Linked DNA regions of Anolis sagrei. The protein of the gene in region 1 binds, or shares a complex with, the protein of each later gene. Links are inferred from orthologs where the notes say so. Each region holds a gene or a part of one and is shown in the gene's direction. Other genes may lie near its edges. The genes, in order: XIRP2 and NEBL.

The links.
Region 2: the proteins of XIRP2 (region 1) and NEBL are in contact, whole or in part, in a crystal structure (PDB 4F14), measured with the Homo sapiens proteins. The link is inferred for Anolis sagrei from reciprocal best matches to the Homo sapiens genes XIRP2 and NEBL. Residues at the interface, in NP_689594.4 of Homo sapiens: Pro2420, Pro2421, Pro2422, Thr2423, Leu2424, Pro2425, Lys2426, Pro2427; in NP_006384.1 of Homo sapiens: Tyr963, Asp964, Tyr965, Asp969, Asp971, Glu972, Ile987, Asp988, Asp989, Gly990, Trp991, Met1004, Pro1006, Asn1008, Tyr1009.

Annotation. Positions count from the first base shown.
Region 1 is NC_090021.1:196,392,168-196,408,653, reverse strand, and holds the start of XIRP2 (xin actin-binding repeat-containing protein 2), read left to right. Parts: upstream 1-7,605; 5' UTR 7,606-7,620; coding exon 7,621-7,765; intron 7,766-16,486.
Region 2 is NC_090026.1:107,520,343-107,537,316, reverse strand, and holds the start of NEBL (nebulette), read left to right. Parts: upstream 1-9,807; 5' UTR 9,808-10,580; intron 10,581-16,974. UniProt on the Homo sapiens protein: Binds to actin and plays an important role in the assembly of the Z-disk. May functionally link sarcomeric actin to the desmin intermediate filaments in the heart muscle sarcomeres.

The DNA of each region.
Region 1 (16,486 bases):
GATATTTTCAGGCATTTTTGGCCAAAGATTTTTTTAAAAATGCAAGAATGTGTTTTGACCCTACAAGCAGGCCTGTAGCCAGGATTTTGTTTCGGGGGGGGGGGGGGGGTGAACTTTTTTCAGGGGGGGGGCTGAGTTTCGGGGGGGGGGCTGAGTCTGAGTGAAAGAGGGTCTAGCCTAACAAACCTTTTGTATCATTACCCCAATACCCCCATGCATATGGGATATATTGAGTATGGTGATCAGATCATGATATGAATAAACTTAACAGTTTAAATAATGCACCAGTAAGGCCTTTTCGCGAACCACCATGAGAATTTCAGGGGGGGGGGAGGGCTGAAGCCCCTCAAGCCCCCCCTGGCTACATGCCTGCCTACAAGGCCTCCCAATGTGATGAAAATACCACCCATTCCTCCTCATTTTGTGACATTCTGGGGCAAAATGGGAGCATTGAAAAAGTGACCCTTGAAGGATCTTGGGACCCATCCCCAGCCCTTGGGAGTACATGTTGCTCATCCTTGATTTAATGGCCATAGCAATTTCTTTTATGAATTAAACAATGGCCGCTGCTACAGGTAACACAATTACGCTATAACATCAGGTATTCAGATTAGCTTCAAATATGTCTAAAACACTACAGTATGTGTCAGAGATGATTATGCGCTTGGTTTTAGATAGCTTTAAAGTATATATATTAGAACAAGTAGTTTTACTTACTTTCCCCCCTTGATCTTCTTATATGATTCTGTCTTTTCAGAAACATACTCTATTTAGGTATTTTGAATATGCACCTGTCATTTCAATAATGCTTGAAGTGTTTCTTTTTTACATAAAAGTCAGGACAAAACCTGGATCTTGAATACACAAAGCATCCTTTTGCAAGGCTTTATGTTCAAGAGAGAATCGAAGTAAAATGTATTCATCCTGGTGAGTTAAAGATTTAGCTGTTAGAATTCTTCAGTGCCACTTGAATGGTCAATTCAAAGAAGTGAAAAATATTTACAGGGAATGCTCTCCCTCATGTCATTCTTCTAATCTTTTTCAAATAGACACATTTTTCATAAAAATCCAGTTTACATAGACATTGCTTTTTGTGTGTCTGTATGAGCACATAATTGAACCAGGTGCCAAAAAGAGTCCTCCCTTTCTATTACCACAATGCTCCTTTGAAAATTGTGTTTAAATGCATTTTTCAGGGGAGCATCATAGCTTTCATCTATTTTTATGACTCTAAAGAGGTTAAGAGTCATTGTTCCATATCATATGGATTTGGTGAGCAGAATTATACCAGTTTGCTATGCTTGTGTGACTATGCAGACGGAGGCCACAGGAGGAAAAAGTTCATAGATCCAGACACTGTGAAGCAAGTCAAGCGTTGGAGAAGTAAACCGCTCACCAGTGGCCTATTTTTTCTGCACATTTTTAAATGGCTGACATCCTTTTGATGTCTTGCACATGAATAAATGCCCTCTGTATGCAATTGGACTTTCTTGTCCAGTGTGTGACATCTGTGTAGTTCAAGGATACAAAAGTGGAATTATGCATATGGTACCTTTGTAGATCATGGTAGACTGTGTGTTGGACATTGTTCCACATTGTGTATTTGTTACCTGATTGCACATTGCACAACATGCCTTAGTGCAGGCATGGGCAAACTTCAGCCCTCCAAGTGTTTTGGACTTCAGCTCCCACAATTCCTAACAGCCGGTAGGAGCTGAAGTCCAAAACATCTGGAGGGCCGAAGTTTGCCCATGCCTGCCTTAGTGGATAATGGCCATTTGGTTGTATAGTGTCACTGTTATGCAAACTCTATGAAAAAGTTCTCTTCAATGCAAGATCTCAGCCAATATCTGCATACTTTGAAGGCATGTAAACATCTTCAACTACAGGACTCATCCACATGCTTACTTCAGGGACATCAACTGAAGATGCAAAGATTGGGGTGGCCAGGCACTATCCATGGACCTTGCAACATCCCACTTTCTAAGAGTTCCATCAGTAAAAGGTTCGTCAGCCAATTCTGTTTTGCCACTATGCTGATAAAGCAGCTGATTAGCTCAAAAATATTGGCTGTAACATAGTTATCACAGAACAGTTAGTCATGCCAACATCTTAAATGAGGTCCTCTGGCATGGGAGTTGTGACATTGCATCCCTCCAAATGTTGTTCAACTCCCACCCTCACATCAACCTTCTTCATCAGTTACATAAAATAGAGTGAATCATTCCTGTAATTGGACTGAGATCAGATTCAAACACCAGACAGTAGGAAAGCTGATCTATGATGCCCTGTTCAGCCATGAAAAACCATGGGTTATATTGGTCAAGTCACACACAACCTCAGAAAGCAAGGGCAAACTTCGTCTGAGCAAATTCTGCCAAAAACCCCTCTGTGATAGGTTCACCTTAGGGTTGCTATAAGTCATAAATGATTTGATAGGCCATACTAGAGGTTAGCTCTCTATTGCTGTGGGACCCATGGGGATTATATTTGTGGTGTTATGAAGTTTATCCATTAAGATCCACTCAAATTTGTCACCCCTGATGGTAACTGCTTTCCCCAGCTGAGAAGGTTTAGCTGCAGGGAGGAGGTGGGTGGGTATTTTTGCCCTTACCTGTTGGAGATGTCTCCTCCTCCCCCTCCTCCTCCTTTCTATTTATAACACACTTCTTCTCTCCAAAAGGATCTCAAACTTCATCTGAGCAAATTCTGCCAAGAAAACTCTGTGATAGGTTCACCTTAGGGTTGTATAAGTAATAAATGATTTGAAAATACACAACAATGGCAACAATAACAACATATCATGGGATAAACTGGAAAAATTGTGGTGGAAAATAATTGTGGTGGAAAATAACAGCAAAGGTCTGAATCCAATTGATTGTCTCAACAAGAAGCATTCCATTGAATCAACCATGAGATGGAAGTAGCATCCTTGTTTCAATGGGTCTGTTCTAATAAGGGCTACTAGTTGGATGAAGACCAATGGATTACTGTAATATGAGTGCAAGCATTTATCAGTCCAAAAGTCACATATCATTTTCCAGGTGTTTTCCCATTGCTTACTATTTTAGGCATGTCAGGTAAATCTCGTTGATAGGTATTAAAATGTTAGGTAGAAAAAAGGTCTAAGACTCTTTCATTCTCATGTTAGTTGTTTCAGATTTGTATAAGTTAAAACCTGTTTTTGCTTCTTTGCACTTTCAAAGTGATACAAAATAGTTGTGTGTATCCAGTAGTCAACAAAGAGTATGGCTTGACAAACCATATCTGACAAGAACTTGACAGCAAGCCTCAATTCACTCTGGGAACTTTCAAGAACTTGGCTTAGATTTGAAGTAAATAGCAAGGGTAGACACTAGACAGTAATTCTAGCCACCTTGCTTAGCACAGTATGTTCTGCCCTGACTAAAATGGTCCCTGGTATATTTAAAATCTCACAAATTCACATACATTACTAGGTGTTTGGGGAAGGACATGCACACTTCTAATTCTGCATTATAGTTTTTCTGACAAATCTTAAGTCAACTGACATTTTGACAGGTACATAATTGTGACACCTGCCAAACCTCTTTGGCTGCAGTCCTTAAACCGTCATTCAGAGGTTTTTATTTATCTATTGTGGGAATATGTTGGATCACAATATTCTGGAGGGATGCAGATTCTTATATTTTCTCTTCTTTTGAAACCATCAACTCTCAGTTCATAAATGCATTGGTGTGTGTGTGTGAATAGATATGCTGTATTTACAACCAGAGTTGTAAATTTTGAACTGTGAATTATACAGAACAATTCCCTTATCTGTAGGAATTTGTGTGATTATATGAAATCACAAATAATAGTGAATTCCATTGAAATGAAAGACTTCATACCCCAAAATACCACAGAGGCATATTGTTATATATAGAAAATGTCTAGAGAACTCATATTTAGACAGAAGTAGATAAATGAAACTATAAGTTCCATAAATACATGGGTCATATTGTATGTTTAGAAGATCAGAGACACAATTGATCTCCATCCAGGCCTAACAATATGGAGAACTGGGCATAGGGCTCCGCAGAACCCTATGTCTAACTTATAAATAGTAGTTAGATTTCCACCATCTAAATATGCATCCAGGGTGGGTTCATGCACACTCCAGGATGGTAGGTTTTATTAGGAAGGCAAGCACAGGCATATCATGCCTCCCTTGCTAAATGCTCATGCCACTGAGAGTGTGTGAAAACGTGTTGATAATCACTCAGCTCATGCTTCTTTCAGTTTATTTGTTAATTGATTTTAACACTATCTGAAATCAAATTCATATTCAAAATAAAATACATTCTAAAATAAAGAAAGAGAGGGAAGAAAGAAAGAAAGAAAGGTGGAGAGAAAAAGACCTACAACTAACACACAATAGAGTTCAACCCTCTAATTCTGACTGTAATGAAAAAAAAATAAGAAAGGGTAAATATTATTCCATTGCAAATTCAATTAAACCCAAACAGTCATAGCTGCAAATCATTACACTGTTAGATTTTGTATTCCTTAAAAAAAGTCCATCACTGGTTTCCAGTGTTTCAAAAAGTCTTCAATTTGTTTGTCCTTTAAAATTCAGAATACTTTGGCAATTTTGGCCTACTCAGCCATTTTAACAACCCATTTTTCCATTGTTGGTACTCCAATCCATGTCTCTGTTTGAGAATCTGCTGATATGTCTTTCAATATTCCTATTACTGTTATGTATACCTACCTCTCAAAGCAGCATAAGTATACATGAAATTAATAATCATAATAATGTATCCATAAACATAAGGATATGAACTTGTCAACTGCAAATCATACTAAATTCCGAAGACTCTGGAGCTCTATGTCTCAAAATGTGAATTGCAGCACTGTTCCAAATACCTCCCCCTACCCCAGAGTGTCTTGTTGCCTTTTTCCCAATTGGTAGCTCTGTTGAAACAAAAACTATAGATAAATTTTATACCTGCTCTTTCTGCATCTACTTTGAATTGTAGAGGAGTTCTCCTAATGCAAAACCTTTATGGAGATGGGGTCCAGCCCCAGGACAGCTAGCAGCTGCAGGAGGAACAGAGATTAAATCCAAATTGGGTTCACTCCTCTGCAGCAGCAAATCTATCAAATCCCTCTGAAATGAAAAGACCCCTAACCACTTGAACCAGCTTTGTTGCACCATTCTTTGTTGATAAAAGCATGATATAGAGTTCATTATTTGAAGGACCATTCTTAATCACCCAGAATTCCTGCAGATTTGAAGTTTCTCAGTCGAAACATCACTAAATTCGGATTGGTTCATAACAATAGAACTATGGGAATTTTCTCCACACCCAGATATAATAATAATAATAATAATAATAATAATAATAACAATAACAATCTGCAAAAGGCCACCTTACTTGGATCTGTGTGCATCATTCGAAAATACATCACACAGTCCTAGACGCTTGTGATTTTGTGATACGAAATCCAGCATATATATCTTGATTGCTGTGACATACTGTGTTTTTGTGTCATTAAAATAATAATAACAATAATAACTTTATTTATATCCCACTCTATCTCCCCGAGGGTTAACAACAAATATCGACAAATATTCAATGCCATAAAAAGCCCAAGACAAAATAGCCCAAGACAAAATAACCCACCACACCAAACAAACCACATCTACATCAAAAGTAACAACAGATTAACAAGAATTAAGTAGTAACATAACAAATATACGATTCTGCATCTTACATTGGGAAGAAACAGCCAAAATCTAAACAAAGCAAAATAAGGTAAAAAATGGAATTTTTGCAGCCACCAGCCTGAGTGACCAGACATTTCCACTCCATTGTGACTATGCATGATATTCAATATGCTTGGGAACAAAAGTAGATTTTTAATTTTTAAGAGGGTAAGGAGGGAGCTGTTTTGATATCTTTGGAGGGGACAATCACGGAGAAGGCTACCCCCTTTCGTTCCCACCAGCTGCATTTGAGATGGTGGTAGGGTAAATAGGCATTTTGAGGCTGTATTTACTAATGTTACAAATTCTACTAAACTGAGAAGGGCTTACTTTGGAACAGACATGTCTGACATTGCATTGTGAAGACCTCATCAGATGGAGGTCCATAAGCCAGGAGAGAGTGGGCAAATCCATGGGGCAGTAGAGTAACCTCTAAACACACTGCTGACACAGAGCCAAGGCAGAACCCCACCAGAAATAGCCCTGTGTTATGTGATAGGCTCCGGCAAGCTCTGCCCTGGCTGCAATTTGGTAGTATCCTAGGATAGGTGAAAAACCCTGTGTGATGAGGTCATGAGTCATGAACTTTACAAATATGTTTGAAACTGATCTTTTTTATTAGAAGCAGGTTAAGTTTGGTACTTGCTCAGTCCTTCCCTTTTCTGCTTCCTTTACCACTAGGAATAACACTGCAAATTTATTTATTATTTATTTGGTTTACTTTTACCCCGCCCTTCTCACCCCGAAGGGGACTCAGGGCGGCTTACATATCCAAGGCATGACTTGGGAGACAAGGGTACATCTACACTGCAGAATGAATGCAGTTTGAAACCACTTTATGGCTAAGTGTTATAGAATCACAGAAGTTTTAGGTTTTTAGTCTACTTTGCTAAATAGTACTAGTGACTCATCCATCTACTGGCAGTCTGAACTTGGAAAAAAACAAGTTTACCGTTTGTTAGGAGAATGAAGAATGAAGTTCTGTGTCAAAAGGGACATACCGAATGTGAACAAAATTACTGTATTGGTATGCAGTAATTGGTATGTAGTGAGATTTTTAAAGGCCATTTAAAGAATTTAAATGATGTTTTGACAGACATTTTCTAGCTTTGTGCCACTCTTATTATCAATCCTAAGTTTCCCTGTAAAGAAATAAAATTAGATATTTATTCATTCATTTATTTACTATATTTATATCCCCTCCCCCTCTCTCACCCCAAGGGGGACTCAGAATTGCTTACAATATGGCAATATTCAGTGCCACATATACAATCAAATAAGATATGATCCATCATATACATAATTACAGATAAAGGCATATAAGCAATGTAAAACTGTTAAAACCACGATACTGCAAAATAATGGAATAATGATGATGATAAAACATACTAATCCAACTGCTTTAAAAACATTAGCATGGCTAACAGGAACCAATTACTTGTAAAATTAACCTGTAAAGTAGCCATTGCATCCAAGGCCAACATATTCTTTGGACTAGTGCCTGCAAGTGAGATTGAAACTTCCACATCTTTCAAAAAAAATACACCATGGCCCTTGTTCTTGTGACTTTCCCCTGTGTGATTTTTTTCTTTCTTTCTGGAAAAGTTATGTGGGCCACATGAAAAAAAGCAAAACCAAATGAGAGCTGCTGTGGTCGCCCAGTTCCTCTAGGTGTTGAAATGTAAACTGACTGCAAAACTACATTTGTTACTCTCGGAAATGTTACAGTGATTTACCCTGAAGCACATTGGAAAACATCAATCATGCCATGGAACCCCACTGCTCCCTCCCTCACCTCTTTGCATCCTCCTCCCACTGAGAACCACATCTGTTTCCTCCTGATAGCTTTTAATACACATCCCCTTAATATTTTCCAACAGGAAGTAGAAATGGAGAGAAGTTTGCAATCACCAGCATTTAAAAATCAGCCTGGGAGCCATTCCATCATTGCTGTGAAAGACCCAGAAGCAAAAGGTGGCAAAACAATTTTTGACAAGATGTCATCCGAAAATGCTCTGAACAACAGCGCTGAAGGTTAGCATAACACTTTTTGATCTGATTTCTTGCTTTCATGCCATATATTGAACAAGGAAGACAGTAAAACATTATGTGAGGGATTTTACCCCTTCCCGACAGAGATTCAAAGTGAAGTGATATGATAATAAATGGATGGGCTTCTAAAGAAACCTGCATTCGATGCTGTAAAGTAAGAATGTATTTGACATCCTGTAATTTTGAAAGGCAGATTTCAGTAGCATAATGTTTGGGGAAGGTTGTTGTTGTTGTTGGGGATTTTTTTTTTGTTTTTTGCAATAAATAAAATGCAAGCAAGAACAACTTTGATTGTTCTCTTCAAGACAGTTTTCCCAGCTTCAAACAGAACAACATGTAAATTCCTTCACTAAAAAATAGTGCAGGGCCTTTCTTAAAGAGTGCTCTTGATCATCAAAATACTTCAAGAAAATGGTGACTGTATAATCAAAGCTGCATTCAATAAAAGGATGAATTGTGCTTTCCAATCTCAGGAAGGAAAGAGCATTCCACCTTTTCTTTTTCAGATGATTGCTTTAAAATATATTTAATGATTTTAGGATAGAATGAGACAGAATGGTGTCATGTTTCTGCAAAGTAATTTTGATTTATTAATGTTTTGAAAATGCTATTTAAATGTTAATAGCTGGTTGTTTAAAAACTGCAGAGTTTGCCATAAATTTCCAGTGCTATAAGAACAAAACTCAAATACTTGATTCCAAGTACAGATACTGTTTTATGTTTTGGAAGTTTCAAGATGGTTGTTTTGAAGTCACTGTAAAGAATTCCCCTGTTTTTCACTGCATAGGGATATAGCCTGTATAATTAGCTAATATATTTTTACATCCAACCTAACATTGCCTAAACCAGACTTGAAAAAAATAGTAGTTTAATGCACCATCCAGTATTAAATGTACATAAGGAGAGCAAGTAAGCATAGTGTTTCCCGAATCACAATACTCTAGAGAAACATGGGGTCAAATTCCCATTCAGGCATGAAGCTCACTGTGTGACCTTGGGCCAATCGTTCTCTCTCCCACCACATCAGACCATAGTAGTTCTACATTGAAGATGCACTTACAGGATTGTTAGGAGGATAAATTGGAAGGGGGAAGAGATAATCCAGTAGTATCTTAGAATAATAGAATCATAGAGTTGGAAGGGACCTCAGGGGCCATCCAGTCCAACCCCATGTCAAGAAGCAGGAAAAATGCATTCAAAGCACCCCCAACAGATGGTCATCCAACCTCTATTTAAAAGCCTCCAAAGAAGGCGCCTCCACCACACTGCTGAACAGCTCTCATAGTCAGGAAGTTCTTCCTAATGTTCAGGTGGAATCTCCTTGCCTTAGTTTGAAGCCATTGTTCAGTGTCCAAATCTCCAGGCCAGCAGAAAACAAACTTACTCCATCCTCCCTATGACTTCCCCTCACATGATCCTCATGTCTCCTCTCAGCCTTCTCTTCTACAGGCCATACATGAATTCTTTAAGCTGCTCCTCATAGGGCTTATTCTCCAGATCTTGATAATTTTAGTCACCCTCCTCTGGAAACATTCCAGCTTCTCAAAATCATCCCTTAAATTGTGGTGCCCAGAATTGGACACAGTATTCCAGGTGTGGTCTAACCAAGGCAGAATAGACTTCTTGAAGCTAGGTGTGCCAAACTGAAGTGACTGGATATTCACCCATGGGAAGTTAGTTGGACAAGCTGCAAACAACCAAAGCAACCTGTATCTCACAAGTAGTGACATCAAGTGACTTTCAGTGACAGATATATTTTTCTGGTCACTGAGTAGGGAGGGGGCACTGACTGACCAATCGGCTGCCTCAACCAATCTGACAAGTCAATAACTTTAGATGACTTCATCATAACAGCAATTTCACTGGCTTCATTGCCATGGGTTCTTGTTTCTACATGAGTGGGCCTGCCTTTTGTGAAAAAATCTTTCTGAAGAGGGGTGGCAGGAGGTTAGATCAGTCACAGTAGAATATAACTTCTCAATATAAAGCAATCATAACGGTCTTTTGTTGAAGAACAATAAGGATCTCTTGTTGAAGAGTTACAGGCAGAAGTGCACAAAGTCCTGCTAAATTTACTGAGATTGTATTAATTGTGCAGAATGTTAATTCAATGAGAAACCAAGCCATATGAGGAGCACCTCAGGGACCTTGGTATATTTAGCTTGGAGAAGAAAAAAATTCAGAAAGGACATAATAGCCATGTTTAAATATTTTAAAGGATGCCATATTGGAGATGGAGTAAGCTTGTTTTCGGCTGCTTCAGAAACTAGGACATGGAGCAATGCATTCAAACTACAAGATAGGAGATTCTGCCTGAACATCAAAAGGAACTTCCTGATAGTAAGAGGTGTTTAGCAGTTGACTGAGTATTCCTGCTTGACAGAATGAGGTTGGGCTGGATGGCCCTTGTGCTCTCTTCCAACTCCATAGTTCTACGAGAAAAGAAGAAAGCACCATTCATATCAGTGGGTTGGTGATATATACCATCATCTGGCCCTTGCCTTCTCCCTGATACTTCTTCACCATTTCTCTCTGTATAGAGAAACGTATAGTACTTTCCCCTCCCTTTTCTTTGGCAAGACTATAAATGTCAAGTTGTGTTTTTATGGTTATACAGTTGGCCCTCTGTATCCACGGATTCTACTTTTACAGATTCCACCATTTATAGCTTGAAAATATTATCCCCTCCCCACAAAAAATCCAAATAGCAAGCCTTGATTTTGCCATTTTATACAAGGGGCACTGTTTTACTGTGCTATTGTATATACTAGGACTTTATCTATGGATTCTACACTGCCACATAATCCAGATTATCAAAGCAGACAATCCACATTACCATTTTTGAACTGGATTATATGAGTCTACACTGCCATATAATCCCGTTCAAAGCAGATAATCTGGATTTTATATGGTAGTGTAGAATGGGCCAGAGGCTGGATCTACATTGCCTTATATCCCAGGTTCAGAACCCAGATGATTTGCTTTAAACTGGAATATATGAGTCTACACTGCCAAATAATCTGGCTGTGTAGATGCACCCTGAAATGACAACCAAATGAGAAAGAAGAATGCTGTGGATATCATCAACTCTCAGACGCCTCAAATTAGGCAAAGTGGGTTATCCCACAAGGCATGGACAGCAGCATCTCCCATTTTGCATTAAGACCTGTAAATATGAATGCCAGCAAAATAAGATTAACGAAGTCAATTTGATTTGCTCTGCTTATGCACAGTGGTGAAATCTCCTGATCAACCTTGATCCATCTTCCTTTAGGGAAGCACTATTTCTTGTCATGAGCCACGTAAATCTTCAGCAAGGAAAGTGGCAAGGTGAATGAGGAGGGAATGGAAACCTGTCAGAGATGTGCTCAAACTGAATCTTATTTCTGCATTAGCTAGATCATTGGGCTCTAGAGCTGTCCAAACATATTTGCTGGAATTCCCACTAGGAAAATATACTTTTCTCAGAAACATAGTATTTAAAAAGAGGTTTTTCTCATATTTTCTACAAGGAAGACTCATATATCAGGGTCCTGAAGAGCTCTAACAGGCTTGCTGATATTTATAATAGCTAGGCTGTCAACATCTAAGGGGTAATAAGCTGCATTTTTAGCCAAATGATTTCATATGCTGTAGCATAAACTATGAAATTCAAGCTGAAAACAACCCATATTTCACTTGATGACACGCCAAACTGGACACTTAAATCATGTAGTGAAGAATATGCTGACATTTGTATTACTCATCTGTGCTCTGAGAGAATTATTGTGTGGCTATTGCATCATGGAAATGAACATTTTGTTTTCAAAATGGTCTTTTTTAGTAGTAATGAATCAAAGTATTCATATATTTAGTTTCATATACATGAGAGGTGGAAATGGACAACCATAGCTAAGCAGAATCTGTTCATAATCAACAGTGTCATTGCTCAGAAATTTAATTCTGTCTTTCTTTTCACTTGATTTTCAGCGTCTTAATGCATCATTTACACTTAATTCCCTCAGGGAAGGAGTGGGAAGAGATAGACCTGGATGCTCATGAAATGACTTGCAGTAGACTGACAAGGGTTTTTGCCTTCCAATTGTTTGCCATTTCTAGTAAATAAAGAACAGTAAAGAAATCAAGAAAATTTGGATTATGAAACCAAGGGCTTGTTGACATTATGCAATTCTAGTATGTATTTTACAGTTCACACAGAGATATACTCCTGGAACCTTTTCATATTACACAATTCTAGAATTGTGATCCATTCTAACCCCATGGAAACATCTCATGAAATCCTGGGATTGGCAGTTTGGTGAGAGGTGTTTGGAATTCCTAGTAAGTCCCTCACCAAACTCTAAGACCCAAAATCCCATTGAAGGTACCATGGCAGTTACAGGGGAATCACAATGCAAGAATGGAGTAATATGAGAACGTTACAAATCTATATTTCTGTCTGAACTGAAGCTCTATCGACTTCTGGTACCCAAAGCATAGCTCTAGGCTAAGAAATCGAAGGATTCATCTTTTCAGTCAAAGTCTGTATTACAGTCAACACACCATAAGGCAATAAACTTGTCAAACACATCAGTAATAAAAATAAACGTACAAGTAATATACAGAATAAATATGCAGTATATAAACAATTCACACAAAAATAAAAGAAAGTTCTAATATCACCTTTTGTGAGGTCTGGCAGATGAACAAACTCTGGTCCTATAATACATTGCTTGTAAAGATCAGGTTCCTGAGACATTCCACCTTAGGAATTTGCTCCAGTAAACCTTTCAGCAAAACCTTAAGGAATATTAGCAATATAGGCAGTTTCCAAGTTCCAAACAAGATAGGTTCTATAGGTTTGCTCATAAGCTGAATTAGTATGTATGTCAAAACAAATACATTTTAAGTGTAACTCCAGCCATGTGTGTGTATACACACATACACACATCTATGTGTGCTTTGGATAGCATAGGGAAGGGTTGACACCCCTGTGGCATTTGTTTTGCTGTTTGTTCCCCTGTTCAGAGGTTTTCACCTTGCTTTCTGTCTCTGTGATAATTGAATTTTGAAAAGTTTGGCTTGTTGTGGAAACAAGGCTTGGTGATAAAGCTTCAGTGGAGACACCTTTTCCTTAGGATAATTCTTTCAGGACTGGATTTCCCTTCCTAGGGTAGATTTCCCTCACTTCCTGTTTTCTCACCCCTGTTCTTAGCTATGAGCCATTGGTAAGTTTGTAACTTGGGGACTGCCTGTACTGACCTTTGTAAAGATGGCTTTCAGCCAAGAAGTATTTCTGGCTTTACACCAAGAATGGGCAATCTCAGCAAATTTGGGAGCCATTTTTTTCTGCCCCACGGCATTTGAAGGAGTCACATGAACTGCCCAAAATGCCAAACTATAACAATGCTAGGAAGCTGCAGAAAGCCAATTTCCTGATTTTGAAATATGAAGGTTTGTAAGTGGAACAGTGTGGAGGAGAGGTGTGGTCAGTTTTAAAAGTGAAGCACCTCTCTTAGAGACTTTCAAGATCAGCAATTTAATTTCCTTTTTTGCCTGAAAAAGTCAAAGATAGTGCAATACCTGGCTTAAGGACTACTAAGTTCTTCCTACCACTTGTCCAATTCAACCAGGGAGACTACAACCACACACATCTATTTAATTTAATTTAATCTGTTTAATTTTGTTGTATAATGTACAATGACAATTAAACTATTCCATTCTATTCAATAAGGAGGATTATGGGTCTTATAGGACATTCCTGGACTCTAAGGCAACAAGGGGCAAATTCTCACCTGCTAAGAACAGAGTTCCAGGCCAGAAGGCAGGCCAAGAGAACTCTAGAACCACAAGAGGGGAACAGGGGCATACAGCAAGAAATACAGGAAAACAAAAGTGACAGTAGAAATATGTATGCATGGAAAACTAACCAAATTATAGCAACAATATGGCTTTCACAGAATGACTTGAAATCCCATGAGGCTGTAAATACAGGGTGACTTCAGAGCTCAGGTTTTGTATTCAATACTCTTGGCAATTCAGAAAGGCCCAGTCAATCCATCTCGAATGTCCAAATCTGAAACTTCTGGCACAGGCAGAGCCATTGTATTGATCCCTTGGTAAATGCTGGGGTTTGATTCCAGGACCCACTGTGGATACCAAAATCCATGGATGCTCAAGTCCCATTATATAAAATGGCAGAGTAAAATGGTGTCCTTTAAATAAAATGGCCAAACCAAGGTTTGCTTTTGGGGTTAAAAAATATTTTCTGCTATGGATGGTTGAATCCATGGATGCAGAAACCATGGATATGGAGATCAGATGTATTCACTTGGAAGTTTCCAAGCTACAGAATAAAAATTAATCATTGATGTGGAAGTTCCTAAGCTACTGATAATGCAGGTGCCCATGAGAGAGCAATCCATCCTCTTAGCAGTAGAAACTTTTAGAAGTAAAACTGCCAGAAGAACCCAGAAACAAAAAGGCAGAAGAGCAAACTCCCTTATAGATGTGGTGAAACAGAGAAGGGTGCTGAAGCAGAGAGCTGATTTCAGGGATGTGGTATATTGAATTATATGGCTGAACTGAGAAACTTCCTGGCTTACAGCATAAGCTCTTCTCCTTCATATGAAGCCGTACTTTCAGTATCTGCAGAACATTGCTCTCTTTTTGGTTTTCAGTCACTTGCCTCTTCTTGCTACACCTATGAATAAGCCTATTATTTTGTCTGCTTGGAGCTGTTAATGTTGATTTCTGACAGAAGTACGACAAGGTGAAGAGTCAAGATATTGCTTCACCGCCTGCACAGCTTTCAAAGTGCATTTGAATGTCTTCCGTCTGTTCACAGCGGTGCTGATGCTGGATTCCTGGAGAAAGTGCAGGAAAGGACAGCCAAAATGAGTCTGGAATGCTCTCGGTAAAAGGAAACGCGAAACTGCTTAGAAACATAAAGACAATTAAAGGAAGACATCAAGTTTATAGTGTATACACTCTATGGAAAAAGAGGATAAAGAGGGTTTTCCTTCTCTCCTACAACACAAGAATGTGCGGGTGGTAATTGCCCAATGAGATGCATTATCCTTAGGTTTAATAAGAAAGAGAAAGGGAATTCTCCTTTGCAACATGTGCTGTCAATTTATTGAAGGTATTTGACTGTGGGGATGGACAGCTAGCATACACTGACATGTGAAATCCAGATTATTTGCTTTGTAGACTCGTATAATCCAGTTCAAAGCAGATAATCTGAAGCAGAAGCAACTTGTAGTTTCCAGTTCAAATTAGATAATGTAGATAATCTGAAGTATATGACAGTGCAGAAGGGGCCTTAGTTGGCTTTGAACTGGGAGGTGGTAGCTGCAGTCTTCTTATTTTGGTGTATTGCAGCTCTTATCTTACACCATCACAGGCTATGTAAGTTAGGATGAATGAGAATTTGTTACAAGAACATCTGGATCACCACATACATACATGTTCTGGACTGCTCTTTGCAGTTTCTTTGGTTTAGTATGCCCTTCTTCCTTTAAGTATAGCCCTTCCATATGTATTTTCCTTAGATGGCTACTTAGCACCTCCAAACTTTCTAGGATAAGCCATTGCTCCTTTTTTTTATTTTGCAAATTTGCATATGCCATTACCAGTGATTGTTCCTCCTCACAATAAAGATTTCCCAGGCCATGGGCACCTTTTCCCCCATTTATGGGCCCATAGGTTTGGACATTATGGGGTTCAGCAACTGTTTATTTTCCCCCTTCATTGCTGGTTGCTGTTCCTCCAATCTCCTTGTACCATCTGGGGTTCTTTGGGATAGCCACATGTTTCTATTGCCGCCAAGAACAACTATTGGAAATGACAGAAGAACAGAATATTTGCATACTATACGTTATAATAGCCATAGGGAATTTGCAGGTATTGTGACAGTTTGACTCTGGAGGAAAATAATGGGATTGAAACTGTTCTCTGTTTATCATGGGCTCTTTTAGAACTGGCGAGTTAGAGATATTGGAAACCTGATGCTAGATCAAATGGCCTGATCTCTCACATATTTTCTTGTGGGGCAGAAAGCTAAAGAGATATTTTGGCATCATTTAGGTGACCCAACACCTCCAGTCTGGGGCATGATGGCTGGGGACAAAGGAAGCCCTAGTTACAAACAACTGGAGACAAAGGAAGCCCTAGTTACAAACAACTGGGAAACACTGGTTTGCCACATTCAAAACTACACAATATGGTATTGTATTATTTCCCATCCTGGGAAATATAGACTGAGTGGAAAGGAATTTATTGTTCAGTGCTAAAAGGCCCATAGTGTGGATGATGAGATGATACTGTTGCTGTTGTTCTGCAATGCTCTCCACTGACAGCTTTCTGGTTAACTGCTGTAGTTTCCTAACTGCAGACATGGCTTTTCTTTATATGCTGTAGAGAAAAGAACAATCAAGCAGCAAAAACAAAAGCCATTAATGGTGTTGGAGGTTAAAAGCAATGTGGCCAAGTGTGTTCCTGCTCTGAAAGATTGCTTACTAAAAATGAAATTTCTTATTTCTTCTCAGTGAGTTTAGATTCAAGCTTGCTCAAACAGTTCCTTTTTTTAATGCCGATATGATAAATCAGCTTGCACCCCAGTTTCAGCATCCTTCTCCCACAAGCTTCCTTCCTATTCCTGGTAACAGAAATCCTTCAAAATGTACTTTTTCATGTTAATATTTCCTTCTGTGGGTCTTCCTT
Region 2 (16,974 bases), on another chromosome or scaffold:
GGATCAACTTCATTTTTTTGCTACTGTGTGAGTACAATCAATAAAAACCAAGTAGCATAAGTATTAGAGGCTGTGGGGGAAAGCTAGATGCAAAATGGTAGGTTAGTGTGTGTATATGCGCATCAACTTATGGCAAGTTCATAAATTTCATAGGGTTTTCTGAAACAAGGAATACTCAATGTGATTTTGTTAGTTCCCTTCTCTGAAATATAGCTCACAACACTTGCTTTTAATTGGCAGACTCCCATCCAAGCACTAACCAGGGGTGATTCTGTTGACCTTCTAAGATCAGATGGTACCTGGTCCTTTTAGGTTATTAGAAGGCTATTACAATTTTGAGAGCCATTATGATATAGTGGTTTGAATAGTGGACTACACCAATGGAAGATCCGGTATCAAATCTCCACCCAGCAATGGAAACCTACTTTCTTGGGCTCAGAAGAAGGCAAGGAGAATCCAACTCTGAACTAATTCTGCCAAGAAAATCTTTTGATAGTGTCACCATAAGTCAGAAATGACTCGAAGGTACACAAAAACAGCAATAAAATTTCAATTGGCCTACTTTTGTCCTTCTTCCTTTTCTTTAGTTCTGTTGTTTTGCAGATAAAGCTAGTTAAGGGAAATGTTGTGCTATTGACTTTTTTGGTTCTATTGTTTCTAGATGCGGCTCTTTTAGTGTACACTTATTTAACTGCTACATTTTAAATCTGATAGTCCTTCTTGCAGAGTTAAGAACATAATACACACATATGAGTGCATGTGTCAGAAAAATCATTGCAGATGGCCATGGAAGCATTTGCAGGACAACTGCCCAGTTAGCTACATGACACAGAAGCAGCCATCTCTTGATCAGCTTGGTGCAACTGCATCATTACATCCTGTGTAATTACTGTGACCATTCTTGGTTTTTAAAAATACAATCAATTTGTATAGTATTGATCACATTTCTTTTGTTTATTTTCCTCCCTGCTATGTATAAAGGAAGGTTGAAATGGGATTTTATATGATTGCAGAATGTATAGCCAATTGTATTTGGAATCAAATTCTGATTACATTTTAAAGGCCATTTAACATTATTGGCTTAATAATGAGCTTAGGACAAGACATAGACGACTTCAAATGACGTGGTGAAAGGAAGACGAGGAACACTAAGGTGTAAAAACATTGGGTAGGAGATGTTGCTACTAAGAGGTTGCAACGTACTTTATCTAAGTTATTGTAAGGATCAATGTTGTTTGTGCTATAACTTTAAGTTGCTGTAAGGTTCAAGGCTGTTTGTGCTACAGCTGTTTCAGTTAATTGAAGAGTTAATTGAGAGTGTTATTTTCATGTGTATAAAGATAGCTACTGTGTGTTTAGCCATTTGCCATTGTGCGTTTATGCTATTGTGCATCTATGCCTCTGTGCCGTTCTGCTTTGTGTAAGCCGGGGACTATGCTGCAGATGTCCTGCGAAGACACAGCCATGAGAAGAGGACAAGGATTCCTGCTTATCTCAGCTGAGTAGTGATATCTCTCAGAAGATATTGTTTCATGTTACTTTTGTGGAAACAGTAATCCTGCTACTTTGTTTTTGTATGCTACCAATACTACAATATTTTTCTTTTCTACTTTAAGCTGAAGTCTCGTGTGTTTTTCTTTTAAGAGCCAATTCATCACACACACAGTTAACTGGGCTAGAGTCAATCTTCATGCTACTCATGCTAACACATGACAGGAGAGACTATAGTGTATTACTGAGACATTCAAAACTTCATGTATTGAACATTTCAAGTCCCAGGTTCAATCATTGGTATCTTCAGTCACACTTTTTCTTTGAAAGGGCTACTTTATTGTGTGCTTTTCAGATGCACAATCCAAATAGCAAAAAAGAACAAGATAATAAAAGCAGAGGATGACAACAGTTTAGAAAAAGCAGGATGATTGATTGATGAAATTTGGCCAGCTGTAGTCTGGGGATCTGCAAAACTATTAATGCACTATGAGTTCAATTTACAAATGAAAAATTAAGATGTTCCTTCATGTATATTCTGAGCACTGAAAGTATGTTCCTCTGATGCTTTTTAGTGGCAGTCTGTTCTCTTCATCCTTACCTACCTCCTCCCATCCTCCCTCAATTCCTGGTTTCTTTTGAAGTTTGATTTCAAATAGCTGTACATTGTGCAATCTTTCCAATTGGGTTAATGATACAATACATTTTTCCATTCCTTCTTTTTTTGTTTATTGGGTACAGTAGTTGGCGATGTTGAGACTTATTGTGGGAAGTTGTCCTATTTTGCTACATTGTCTTCTGTTTGTGAAAGGGTGCAAACTGTTCAAATTCATTAAATATTTTCAAAAAGATTCTTTATATGATAAAATAAATTTATGTAGTACACAGAAGTAACTTTAAACACTTCTATTCTTTTAAATTGTGCAAAATGTTCAGTATTTATTGAACAGTATAGTATACTTTTGAATAGAATTGTGTTTGACTGGTAGCTACATCGAGCACACAATCTGGTTATTTATATCAGTCACTGTTTTAAGTTAAATTGTTATCACTTTAAAATGAATCTCATGAATACATATGAACAGTGGAGGGCTAGGTCTAAAAATATTGATTACCAGGAGAGATAGTAAAGAGCTGACAGGCCTATGGACCTCATCAGAAAGCCCAGGCAAAGCATCCCACTACACTGAGGTTCTGTAAGGAAAGAGGGAGCAGTGGGGCGAATCAGTCGGCTTGCATTATGTTTCCTCTCTGTGACACTTTCCTCATCACATTGGGAAAGCTTCACCCTTGCAGGGAGCAAGCACAACTTGGAGGCAAGCACAATACGGGAAGCCTCCCATGTTGGGGTGGAGGCACCCAGCAATACTTTTACCCTGGATGTGAGCAGGGCCTCCACCTGATGTCACACAGCATTGTGTGACCTGTCAACCTCTGTCCCCTAGACAGGGGGGAAAGCATCACAGGGTGATAAAATCACTCAGTCTGATGAGGTAGTAAATGATGTATGCATCAGTCTCACAGAACTCGAATCAGAATTATGCTTTTCAGAATTATTATATTCTTAAATATAAAGCATCTTTTAAATTGATTTAATTATTATTTTATTAAAATAGTAATTCAACATAAATTTTAGTTGCATACACTAGTAATATTGGACCTCATATTTTAAAGCTATTTATTTATTGTGTCAGAAGCAATTTGGGAATACAGTTATAATGCATAAAAACCACAAAGTTAAAAACTTAGCATTATGCTAAATTTCCTTTGACCAGAAGCTGGCCACTTCAAATGCCTCTGATGTCACTGTAAGGTCCTCCATTGCGCATGTGATTTTCAAGCTACTAAAATTGCCACCCTCCCCCAAAATTAAACAATATGTTAAAAATGTAAATGACCTTTTAGTGGCTTTTGTTTTCCATCTACTAAAAGGTCATTTACATTTTTAACATATTGTCTAATGTTTATGAGGGCAGAGGCACTTGCCATTGGGCACGCTGACATTCTGGCCAGTCTGCCAGTGAATATGAAAGCAAGCTGATCCAAGTTCCTATCTTTTGCCTTTGGTAAAGGCACAAGATAGGAACTTGTAATCACAAAAGTTTCAGCTGTCCTTCCTGACTATGATCAGGCACTGTTTTTTTTTTTTTAAATTGGTATGCAGCTGCTAAGATGCTGGTGGCTGTGTATTTTATCATTACTTTCAGTTGTTTCTGGCTGCCAAACAACATTATATTATGAAAAATGCATTTCAAAGATCGGCTCCATACAGGCATGTAGCCCGGGGGGGGGGGGGGCTTGGGGGGCTTCAGCCCCCCCCCGAAATTCTCATGGTGGTTCGCGAAATGGCCTTACTGGTGCATTATTTAAACTGTTATGTTTATTCATATCATGATCTGATCACCATACTCAATATATCCCATATGCATGGGGGTATTGGGGTAATGATACAAAAGGTTTGCTAGGCTAGACCCTCTTTCACTCAGACTCAGCCCCCCCGAAACCCCCCCCTGAAAATTTTTTAGGGTCCCCCCCCCCCCCCCCCCCGAAATGAAATCCTGGCTACGGGCCTGGCTCCATATTATGGACTTTAATAAAATTCATTCATTTTAGTGTTGTAAATTTCTGGTCTTAATGTTAACTATTTTTTGTTAAAAAAACACTCTGTTTTTAATGTTTTAAAGTTTTACACCCCTGGTCTGTGACCGTAATAATAAAATTCATTCATTCATCAGGAATAACTTTCTATTAATTTATTATCTGATGACATAAAATGTTATCTTTTTTCTGTTTGATAGGTCAAATACAAACGAGACTTTGAAGAAAGCAAAGGAAGAGGTTTCAGCATTGTAACTGACACACCAGAACTGCAAAGGCTGAAAAGGACTCAGGAGCAAATCAGTAATGTATGTGACAATGACAGTAGATCAGAGAAATGGTGCGCAAATGAAAAGGCATGGTTGGAGATGGCTGATAGGTTTCCAGTCTGGAATCTGTATGAGTGCAGAAACTGGAATATTTGATGACTTTGTGTGTGTGATTGAGATTTGGTTTACATTAGCAGCACATTGGTAGTGTGTGTGTTCCCTCTCCAAACCAATTACTGTCAAATATTCCTATCCTGACTGTTAAAAAATTCACATGCTAGAAAACATTCTTGCAATTAAGACTATTTTGCAAAGTTTTATTTTTAATAATATTATGCAATAGATATACTTTGCAAATTATTTGGGGTAAAATTTGCAAAATGATTTCACAAATAACTTCAGCTTCCAGAATTACCTTTCTCACAAGAAATATTACCTTATATACAAAGAACTGTGAGTGGAACAACAAGTCTTTTTTCAGTGAACATTGCTCAAGATCTAACAGAAGACTTCTCATGGTGGAGCACCACAATGTATCAAGGATTGCAGTACAGTGCAAGATAAAATGATAAAAGGACGTGGATCTGGATCATCTCTTGGGTCTTGGAGACCTTGCGCAAGCAAATATCTGGGATTGTGTTTTTTGTGTTATTTGGAAGGATCCAAGCTATTGTCAATATTTATTTATTCAAAGTGCAAAAGTTATTTATAAGATAAAAATATGTATGCATAAACGTATACTTGAAGAGCTCACAGCAAGTACCATGGAGATTAATAGTCTGAAATGTGAGCCATGGTGTAAACAAATGTCACAGCTTCATAGTTTCTCATCCTCTCCAGAGGTATCATTATTTCAGTTTTCTAACCAACTATTGGCGGTGTGAAGATAGGAAGAAGATTTGTTATGTTAATTCAATGACATTTTAGAGGAATAGTTTGTGCTGCAAGTTGACATTGGCTTATGAATAAATCCTTGGAATTAATGAAGATTTGGAAGTAATCTGGGAGGATACCAAAAGGACATAGAAGTTTAGGGAAAAGGTAAATGAGTGAGGGGCCAGGTGATTTTTTTCCTTCCCAGATTATTTTTTTTAATTACAATTATAAAATTAGGTAAGAACTTGGGGCTTGGGAGGACCATTTTGACTGGACTTTCCTCAGCTCTGATCGAAGTCATAGTGGTAACCATAAAGAAAATGTTTTAATTATTTTAAATAATTGATTTCATGCAGTTTCCCTGCATAAGCATGCATATTAAATGGTTGATATAGGACTTCAAGCATACATATTTGAAATTTCATTCACCCAGGAGTGTAATATAAGACCCTTTCCTGTATATTTTATACTGTAAGATTTATATCTGCTTATAAGATTACTTTTGATAATAAGGATTAATTCCTCCACCATTGATTTTGATTCCATGTGATATGATAAACTCCATTAAGCCTGGCTTTATGAAGTGTTTGAGTCTAAATCCAATTGGTAATTCCAAGTAAAGTAGAATTAATAGGTTTACAGTTAATGAAAAATTCATTTATTTATTTAGCCTGTAACAATCTTATAAGTATCTTGTTATGGTAGAAACAAATGTTTACATTTTAATTGTGACTTTTCAGAATATGTTTGAGATGGCTGATCAGTGAGTAAAGTAAGTAAATGGGTTTATGGTTGCTGTCCTCTGAAATTCTTAGTCGTTAAAATGAAGACTTCATATATTGTGACTAAATAACACAATTCATGAATATTCTGCTTGCTTCCTTTAATGTTAATGTTTCTTAAGTAAAATGTGGAAGTTTTTTCAGAAAGAATAGGAAGAGTGAGAGAAGAGCACTGTTCAAATTCAGATCATAATGATGTGTCAAGAGCAGATTCATGGATTCAGGTGTTCTGATGATGTTGAAGAGAAGGAAAACATGTTACTGGCTGGTAAGTTTGCTATTTTGTTCCCTCTAATGTGTGGATTTCTGTTTTTGGCATTAATTGGATTGCATTATTATGCCTGCATCAATGTTGATATAAGCCATGGTTAAGACATCAAGACTATTATGCCTGCAGTCACCTTGATGTCTTCTACAAAAGAATGTGAAAGGTAAGATGGTTGGAGTGCAACCTACCGAAAGGCAAGTTTCTTATGAAGAGATGTCTCTCTATATAAAATGTATACCCTGCCAAATTCTACTGAATATTAAAGGTCTAAATTTATAACTAAACAGTGAGGACAGGACTGATTTGAAGAGCAAGCATATAGCCCAAGTAAAAGGCTTGATAGAATTCTGTTGTCATGGCAGTCAAAAATAGGTCTTTCTTATATGGATTGCTCTCGGAGTATTAAATAAATTAACTGCTTCTCTTAATGACAAGTTTTAGACATTTTGGTTCACCTTTCCATGGTTGGGTGGGCATTTTAAATTGCCTGTGCATTTTCCAATTTGTGTGGTGTGATTTAAGATGCTTATAAATTATTATTTTTTCAATATTTCAAATTTAAAATATTCACATCTATTCTGCTGGGACAGCACACTGATTTTGGGCTTCGGAGTTGTCTGACTACGGCATTTGCTGAGAATGCAGGAACTTCACATTTATCTTACTTGTGATCAGGTGCCTTTATTTCTTTTTCTTGTAACAGTTAATTTTCAGTATGCTGTGAAAGTTACTTTGTGTGAAAAGTATATAAAATTTAACATCCAATTTAGGAAATGAGTTTAGAAAATGAACAAGTTTTTATAAAGTAATATAAAATCTAGTAAAATAATTATCCAGTTGCAATGCCGTTGTGGCGTCTACAGCATTTTTTTACAATGTGATCAGAGAAGCATGTTGTTAACATTTGATACTATCTGCAAATGAACATTTTAATTTATCAGTGGGATGTTGTATACACATTTGTCTGTTCTTGGTAGTTTCACAATTGTGTTGGTTTAGCACCATATAGTGATATTGGTGGAAGATCCTAGAGAGAAGTTAGTACTTTCCCAAACTGCTTGGAGGAAGCAGCCATAGTAATGGAAACTATTATTATAAAGAATTCCTGGTCTCAGGTAAGCAGTCTGTAACAGTCCCCGAGTTACAGACATCCAGCTGACATAGTTAAGAACGGGGAACAGGAAGTGAGAGAAAACTACCTTTCGGAAGGAAAATTCACTTCCGAAAGAGTTATCATAGGGAAGAGGTGTCTTCACTTCACCATCAATTCTTGTTTCCACATTTTTCAAAATCCAGTTGTCAGAGGGACAGAAAATGAGGTGAAATCTTCAAAACAGGCACAGACAGCAAACCAAACACCACAAGGCTGTTAACACTTCCTTATGCTAAGCAAAGTGTGCACACACACACACACGTGTGTGTGTGTATGTGTGCATTCTGTTACTTTCTGTTCCTCAGACAATTGGCTGTAGTTACACTTAGAAAATGTACCTGTTCCTTCTATATACAAATTCAGCTTAAGAACAAACCTATAGAACCTATCATGTTCATAACTTGGACTACCTGTACTCTCCTTGGGTACAACTACATTATAGAATTAATGCAGTTTGATACCAGTTTAACTTCCATAGCCCAATGTTTTACAAGGCATTTTGCCCTTCTCTACCAAAGAGTGTTGGTGCCTTAGGATTCTATAGTATTGATCCATGACAGTTAAAATGGTGTTAAACTGCATTAATTCTACAGTGCATGTCACTCCTGAACATTGTGGAAATGTTTGGGAGTGACATTCAGCAATCTATTATGTCTGTCATTTTTATAACATCTTCAGTGAATGATTGTAAAATGATCTTGATATTAAGAGTGCTTTCTCAGCTGACATGGATTTATATGTAATCTATTCATTTCAAATATGACAAAATCATATGCTAATCACGATGTAAACAGTGACTACCAGATGGATTTTTGAATGATAAATTAAAATTTATAATTATACACAAATATTTGGTGGAAGCTGTTAATATGTTTATGATTATAAGTTTTAACATGGTGAATAGGGTAATTAAATAATTGCTTTAAAATATCTGGCTGGCATTCTCTTGGTGAATTATTGTAGTGTAAGCCAGACTTACACCATCACAACTCACTTTTTTGGCCATTGCATAATTCACTATTGGGTGCTTTAATGATGTCATCTGGAGGGACCTCCTGAAGACGGTCAGAGATCTGTTTGTAGATGTCTGTTGCAATGCACCCAGATGGAGGAAAACAGTTGGATCCATCCCTTCTGCCCCCTGAAATTTCACACCAACTTTATTGTCATAGTAAGACGATCCTCAAGTGCTTTGCACTGTGTTTTGGGTTACTAACCCCTTTGAAAATCTGATCAAACATGTGGACATACTTTCCAGAAAAATACACATAAGCACGTAAGTGCAACATTTTGCTTGCAGTGCCTATTTGGAAAAACAAAACAAAAACAAAACATGGCTGACATCCTATTCACAAGGTTCTAAGCAGGATATGTGATTTCATAACTATTGGGGATTTATTTATTTATTTTAAACATTTATATTCCACCCTTCTCACCCCGCAGGGGACTCAGGGTGGAGCACAACATATATACGGCAAACATTCAGTGCTGGGACATAATTTATGGTCATTAATGTCAGGAATGACTACAAAACCTACTGTTTTATCCTGACAGTGTCTTAACTGAAGGGTTTCAGATATAGTTCCTTGCCCAATCAAAGGGTGCCATGAGACCTTGAGGAGGTTCTCCAGTTGCCTGTTCTCAGTGTGTCTCATAATTGGGAGAGTACTTCAGATACCATTTCCAAGCATCCTGATCTCCAGTTCTTTGGAAACCTTTCAGTTGAGGCTGAAAGTTTTTTTTTTGAGGAGGGACATTATATATTAGACGTACCTATGATGGTAGAACTTTGTCATAGTAGTTATATTGGATATTGAAGATTGCAGCTCATATATAATAATAATAATAATAATAATAATAATAATAATAATAATCTTTATTTATACCCCCCCCCCCCCCACCATCTCCCCGATGGGGACTCAGAGCGGCTTACATGGGCCCAAGCCTGGACAACATATTACAGCAAAATGAAACCAAAACATTATCTTAAAGTTCATAGTGATGGGGAAAATGATAACTAATTAAAATGGAGTGTAAATAGTCGTATTTTGGCACCCAGTTCATGGATCCCATAAAACCCATCAATGATTCCATTATCAGAAGACCTAATATTTCTTGAGACAATCCAAGTGTCATTTTGGTATGCAAAAAAGGTAAACATCTACTTCCTAGGCAGAGGTTTTCTGTTCAAGGAGAACTGTAATAAGCACCACAGTCTCAACTACCTAGACCTGTGTATGACCATTCTGGTACCCCTAAAATCAAATGTTTCATTTTTGCAACTATAGCTCTATTTCGAGTATACATTGCATTTATTTTTGGATTATTTCAATCATCACTGATATTTCATATGTAATAGAATATAATTCAACTTTGATTATCAAATAAATATTGAATAAATGTTTCCAGAATATCTGCCATTACCAAGTTTATGTAGTCTTAATATCTTCAGGAATGTCAGATTGTTGGTTTACTTTTGTATAAGGGATTCAAGTTGTTGCTTTTTTTAAAAATGAGAAATGACATGTTATTTGTATAGAGAGGCTGCACTGGAAATTTCCTGTCACCACAAATAGCCATACTAATGTAACTAAATTTGCTACTTGCTGATGATCATGAGCTGTGAACTATCTTGATTTAATTCTAGCCTCTAAGTTTACATTGAAAAACAAAACAAAACAAAACCAATCCTATAATTAGAATTTGTTGGCACATTTATGCGACCTGTTTACTTGTTCAAGCATAAGCTGTGTCTGGAAATTGATAAAGCACCTTGCAGTGAGAGTTGGCAGGGAAGGATGTTAAAATCAAAGCCAATGTGTGGACAACAAAGCTTAAGTGTCTGAAGACATTAATTTAAGAATTTTAGACTGTATTTCTATAGGCATTGACCTAGGAAATAACAAAGGAGTTGTGGTAGGCATGCATGGGATAATGCTGTTATTCTGTTTTATTCAAATGACAATCTGCTGTGTTTCCCAAATTATTAAATCACATCTTATTCCTGTTTGAATAAATGGGTGGATTTTCTTTCCTAACCAAATAGACGCCACTGGTTTGAAAGCATAAATGAAAACGATGAAGTAAATTGGAGACCGATTCCTGTCATCTAATAATCATGTTTCTTCTAGTTTCCTAATCAGGTAAGAAAATAACTTGCATGAAATTTCTGTGCTTTTAAGTCTGAAGGATTCAATCTTTTGCTTTGAGCTGCAATTGATAAGCATATTTTCAAAGTACAATGGCCTCAATTTAGATATAATGGCTTCTAGAGAGAGAGAGAGAGAGAGAGAGAGAGAGAGAGATCGGGCTCGATTTGCTCTTCCCATTTATTAGTAATTTTGTCTGTAGATGGTTCCCGTAGAATGCCCTTCCAGCACCACATTTCAAATGAATTGATTCTTCATTCTTCTTTTTCACTGCTCAGTCTTTTTCACCTGTACACAGACATTGAAAATACTGTGATACAGATGATCATTGTTTCAGTATCCACTGATATATCTTTGCATTTGAGGATGTTATTAATTTCTTTTTTAGCTATTGCTCCAGTCCTTTTCTTCTGATTTCCCAATTACATTGTCAGTTTTGATACATAACTAAGCCAAAATATGGTAAGTCTTTGACCATTTCAGTGTCTACATCTCCTACTGTAAAGCTGTGTAAATCATGGGCAGTCATTATGTTGTTTTCTTAGTCTTTATTTGTAACACTGCTTTTGCATTTTCCCCTTTGACTTTTCTCAATAGTTGCTCTAGTCATCACCTATTTCTGCAAGTGTCGCCTGTGTATCTTAACTTTTTGTTCTTATTTTTTCCAATATCTCCCTCCCCAATGTTGGGAATTATTGAGAATTACCTTCATTCTAGCCTGATTTTGTGTTGGCGCTGTAGCTTTGTGTCTCTGGCTTGGAAGAGGATTGACTTGGCACAGTTTGACTCTTTCTTGAACCTGCCCTTTATTTGCTCCTTTTTTGCCTCATCTGCCAGTAGATCATACTCAACAGAACAGTTCTGCCAGCATGTTGCTTTACTGGCAGATCTCTGAAATGATTTTGCCAGCAGAAGGGGATTTCTGCCAGCAAAGAGACCTTTGCCTGATCCTTACCCCCTATAGCCACTGAAGCTTTGAGTTAGTGCTGCACTGTTAGCTGGCATAGACTGAACAGGAAAGTGTTCCTGTGATCATGGTACATGGCTCAGTGAAAGTATTTGATGCATGTTCATAGCAGCTGTCAAAATGTAAATTCCATCTTAGGGATCATTAGGAAAGGGATTGGAAATAAAACTGCCAATATTATAATGCCGTTATTACGGCACATCAGGTGCTTTCTCTACCTCAGAATGGATGTTGTGGAGCTGAAAGTGATCTCAGAAAGGGAAACCAAAATGGTTAGAATTCTAAAGCATCTCCTCTATAAAGAGACATTGGAACCATTTACTTAGAAGAGATATAAAAGATTATGCCTGTAGTGCAGAAAGTAGATGGAGAAGTTTCTCCTTTTGCCAGAAGAATATGAAAACCAAAGATCCAAATGAATATGTTTGGTAGGAGATTCAGAGTGATTAAAGTGATTATATTTTCACACAGTGCATAGTTGAATTTATGGAATTCACTGCCAGTGATGAGCAGCTGTGGTTCCCGAGATGTGGCAAGAGTAGAGTTCTCTTCAGCCATGGGCTGCATAGCTAGATGTTATAGATGGGCCATATTTTCCAATCCTGGTATAGACCAAGGCTTCTGAAATATTTTCAACTCATGACCCTTTTTTGTCTGATAAATTTTTATGAGACCCCAAGTATATAGGCATGAAATAGATATAAAAACCAAACATTTACTGATAAATCAGCATTTATTTTTATTTATTTATTTCAAACATTTATATCCCATCCTTCTCAATCTCCGAAGGGGGACTCAAGCATTTGCAAGGCTTGCTAAACAGGCCAATTTTGCTTTTTGTGGAGGACAGCTGAAGCATTTTCTGCAAAGTACTGTAAATGTTGCTAACAGATTTGTGTAATCTGTTGTTGATTTTTTTGTGACATTGAGCTATTTTTTGTGACATTGAGCTGGGGGTCCCATTTGGGGCTGGGACCCACAGTTTGAGAAGCATTAGTATAGACAAGCAGCCCAGTGTGTTTGGTAGTATTTCTTTAAGGCATTAGGCAGAGATCCCTCTCACCATTGGTAACATCATTTTACATGAGGGTGCAATGTTCTCTGTTATTGAGCCACAGCACCCCATCTGTTCACAGATTTTATCTGAGTGAGATCGAAAAATCTGGTCCTATAATTCATCCTTGTCACTATCTGGTGCATTGGCTCAGCAAAGTGAATATCAGGATTACCGATGACTGTACTTTTCTGGCACACTGTGAGTCCTCTAAGGCTTTAGCGTAATATCTACGTCAGCGGATTACACAGGAGTTAGCCAAAATTGTGAAGTAAGCAGTCATGACACTGTGATCTTTCAGAATCTCTTTTATATCCAGAATTTGATGAAAAAACATTACTTTCTCTCTGTGGACCAAAGCTGTCCATTTTTATTGTTGTGAGAAAACTACATTAGAATAAGCACTTTGGGGGGGACGGGGGACTAGATTCTGGCACCAGGATGATGGAAATATTTGATTACATTTAATTATTTTAAAATATACTATTCCTAACCATCTTGATACAGTATTTCTTAATCAAAATATATAGTGTCATAAAGTGATATTTTTTAACATTACTTATTAATTGAGCAATAGCATAGATGCACAACACTGGCAATTGGACTTTAAAGGTACAATGTTTTCCAAATCACTACTTAAAATGCAACTTCGGCTGTAAATTATAAGCCTGCATATAAGCCTTTAAATAACTCTTATTACCTTTTAGAAGCTCAAAATATTTTTTCTGTATTCGCTTTTCTTCATGAAATTAGCCCTCCTTTCCTCTCCAAGGTCAAAAAAGTTTGTATTTGAAAAATATAATGGATTATAGAAGAAATGAGAATGGGGAAGGCAGAATTGTTTTTCATCAGCTGCTGACTTCTTATGGTTGCCTTGGCCTCGGAGTTATTTATTGCATTTTTATGATTCATCATCTGCCTGTTGACTGGGAAAGGTTTTCTGTTCTGTTAAAATGTTGAAATATAGATGAATAATATTGGTACCTAGCAGTTTTCTTCTTTGTGCCTATTTCATTTAGCTTATTTATTAATCTAATGTTAGTTTTAATTTTTGATATATTTCATTCATTTAGTTGCAGTAGTGGGATTAAATAGCTGGAAGAAAAGTGATGAGATTTACAGCTACTGCAGGATGCAATATAGTAAAATGCAACATAGATTAATTAGCAAGATCATTGTTAGGATAGAGTTCCCTCAAATGGCATAGTGCCTACTATGGGCCCATTATATTGTTGCAGTTTAAAATATAGGTATTATATTTGTGTTTTCTTGTGAATAACTGGTATTATTTTTAGCACTAATATACAAAAACTGGTCTATGTGATATAGTGGAGAGGACAAATTTGTAGCAGTCGTTTTTTTAGTGAAATACTTGGCTCGATTTTGGAAGTTAACATTTGATGAGAGAGTACTAGAGAGGCCTAGGTAAAAAACCATGAGTCAAGGCTTGGAAGAATGCTCACTAAAGCACCGGATAGCTGCTTCCATTCAGAGTTGATATTATTGGCCAAGCTGGAATAGTGGTCTAACTAGATATGAGGCAGCTTCTCACATTTCTACATTCCATGTTCTACATTTTTGTGTATCCTACAGTGGAGCAGGAATAAAAGGAAGATTGCATAGTCAAGGAGGTTATCTTGAAAGTCTCTCTTTTAAAGTCATCTTGATTTTTATTCGGTACCATAGTAAGATCATGTTGGATTTACATTTTATGGAGTTGAATTTGATGTCCCTGAGGCCTTGTCTCTTCCTTGAAGAACTCATTTTTGTTAACTTTTCCTTGACCAATTGTTTCAGCATTCCTTTTCTTATATTCTGCATTCTTACTGATATTTATGATTCGTCCTGGATTAGCAGGCTTTTTATTTTGTCTAAAAATATAAAATGCTACAATGAGCTGCCTTATACTCTGTTGTATGGTTGGTATAGACTAGCGATGAGAGACTGCAGTGCCCTTGATGTGGCTGGAGTACAGCTCCCATCAGGCCTGTAGCCGGGGATGGGTGTGGGTTAGGGGTTCAGGTTAAAAAAAAACTTTTTCAGGTTAAAAAAAACCACCTGGTATACTCATGAATTTTAACTGGTTAACCAAATCCACATGCTAAGTCTATGAGATGCAAAAAATTAAGAGTCCCTCCAGAACTGCAAGCACTATCTCAAGCAAATATTGACAATTCATTCACACTGTCATTACTTGTAGCAATAACCGATGTAGCAAAGCAACCAAGTTGGGGTGGGTGGGTGTTGAATGCTCTCATTAAGGAGGCCAGACTTGATGGAGGTGGTTGACAGGGGCGGAACTGCAGGCTATTGAAGGCTGCCCTGTCCCCTGTGGTGCTCTTTGCTTCAGTGTGAGCTAGGAGGCAGTTTTCAACTCTCTCCCCCCCCTGAAATTTTCAATCCCTCCCCCCTGAATTTTTTTTCTGGCTATGGCCCTGGCTCCCATCAACCACAGGCAGCATTGGTAGTTGTAATGGATAGGGCATATTTTACCAAGCTTGGTATAGATGAAGCTGGTACCTGAATTTGGTAGCATTTTTTCAATTCTTTGTGGTGATCTCTCTCACCATTGGTAACACCATTTGACACAGAAGTGCAAATGGTGATTTAAGTATACAAAGCATACAGCCCGAAAAACCTACAACAACCCATACAAAGCATGTTCTCTGTTACTTGGCTACAGCACCCTCTGTGTATACAGCCCTTATTTGAGTGAGACCAAACACTTCAAATTCATCAATATCATTATCTGCTGAGTTGGCCCAGCAGATTGAATATCAGAATTATTGGTGAGTGTGCTGTTCTTGCACACTATGAGTTCTGTAAAGACTCTAGCCTAACATCTACTTCAGCAGATTACACAGGAGTTATTCAAAATTGTGAAGTAAGCAGTCATGATGCAGTGATCTGAATGTAATCAGAATGCATTTATATTCATTCACCTCATTTCATTTCCACTTAAATATTAGCTGAATCATGCCACTAACACAATAGTGTACAGTCATGGAAACAAATCATTACACAGAAAATCAAAGTAATTCATTATTTGCATTGTGCAGGCATGCACCGAAAGTACTGTTTAGGTTTAAGTCTTGCACCTGGCTACTAATTTTCCACTTTAGTCTGAAGACAAGACCATATTAAGACATGCTGAGCTACATTAAGTTTAAGGGACGCCATCATATCACAACCCCAAAATGTATATTATTGTCACTCTATATTGGAGTGGCTGGGTAGTCAGATTCCAACTGGGCACTTAAGCTAGATCATATGGTTTCTATTGGAATAGGCGGCTCCCATTTCTGAAACTGTCTGTGTAACCTAAAAACCTGCTCTGGGGGAATTAGGAGATGTTCTGGATCAAGTTTTTAGGGTGCATAGGGTGTTGCTGGGAGTAATGGATGGTTGGATATCCTTTCAGTTACAGTACCTTATCTGTAATATATGGATGGCAATTTGAAATACAGAGCACCAGTGTGGTATAGTGGTTTGAGCTTTGGGCTATGTTTCTGGAGACCAGGCTTTGATTCTCTGTTGGTCATGGAAATCTACTGGTGGCCTTAGTCCAGTCAGATTCTCTCTGTCTCAGAAAAAGGCAAATGCCCTCTAAACTAGTGTTTCTGAATCTGTGGGTTCCCAGATGTTTTGGCCTTCAACTCTCAGAAATCCTAACAGCTGGTAAACTGGCTGGGATTTCTGGGAGTTGTAGGCCAAACACCCGGGCATCCACAGGTTGAGAAGTACTGCTCTCAACAAATCTTGCCAAGAAAACATGATATGACCACCATAAGTCAGAAATGACTTGAAGACACACAACAACAGCAACAGGTTTAATATATAGGTAGAGTATGCAGCTTGCAGCTCTTTGGATATGTTGGATTGCAACTACCAGCAGGTGACACAAATGTGAGAAATTGTGGAAATTGCATTCCAACACTATCCAAAGTGGAGGGCCACATATTCATCCTCACTGATCTTAAAGCAGACATTACATATTAAAATACACGCTTCAGGTTCTTCATAGTATACCTGTGTCTTTCAGGTATAAAATGAAAAGACCTTCCTTAACAGAAGTATGCGTAATAATTTAAGTAGAGATTGAATTTAATGGAAAACTGCTGTCCAGTACAATCTGCACCATATTATTTCCCAGTTGAATTGAATTGTAGCTCTTGTAAATGTTTAAGAGTAAGTGTTACTGTATACCAGAAACAGGATATAATTTAATGCATCATTTCTTCTGACAGACTTTCCCCTAAGAATCTGTAAATGCAGTGTCAGCACACAGTATGAGACTTCCCAACTTAAGTAAATTAAGTTGTTCGGGCAGTATTTTTCAGTGTGACAGAAATCTATAGTGTATGTAG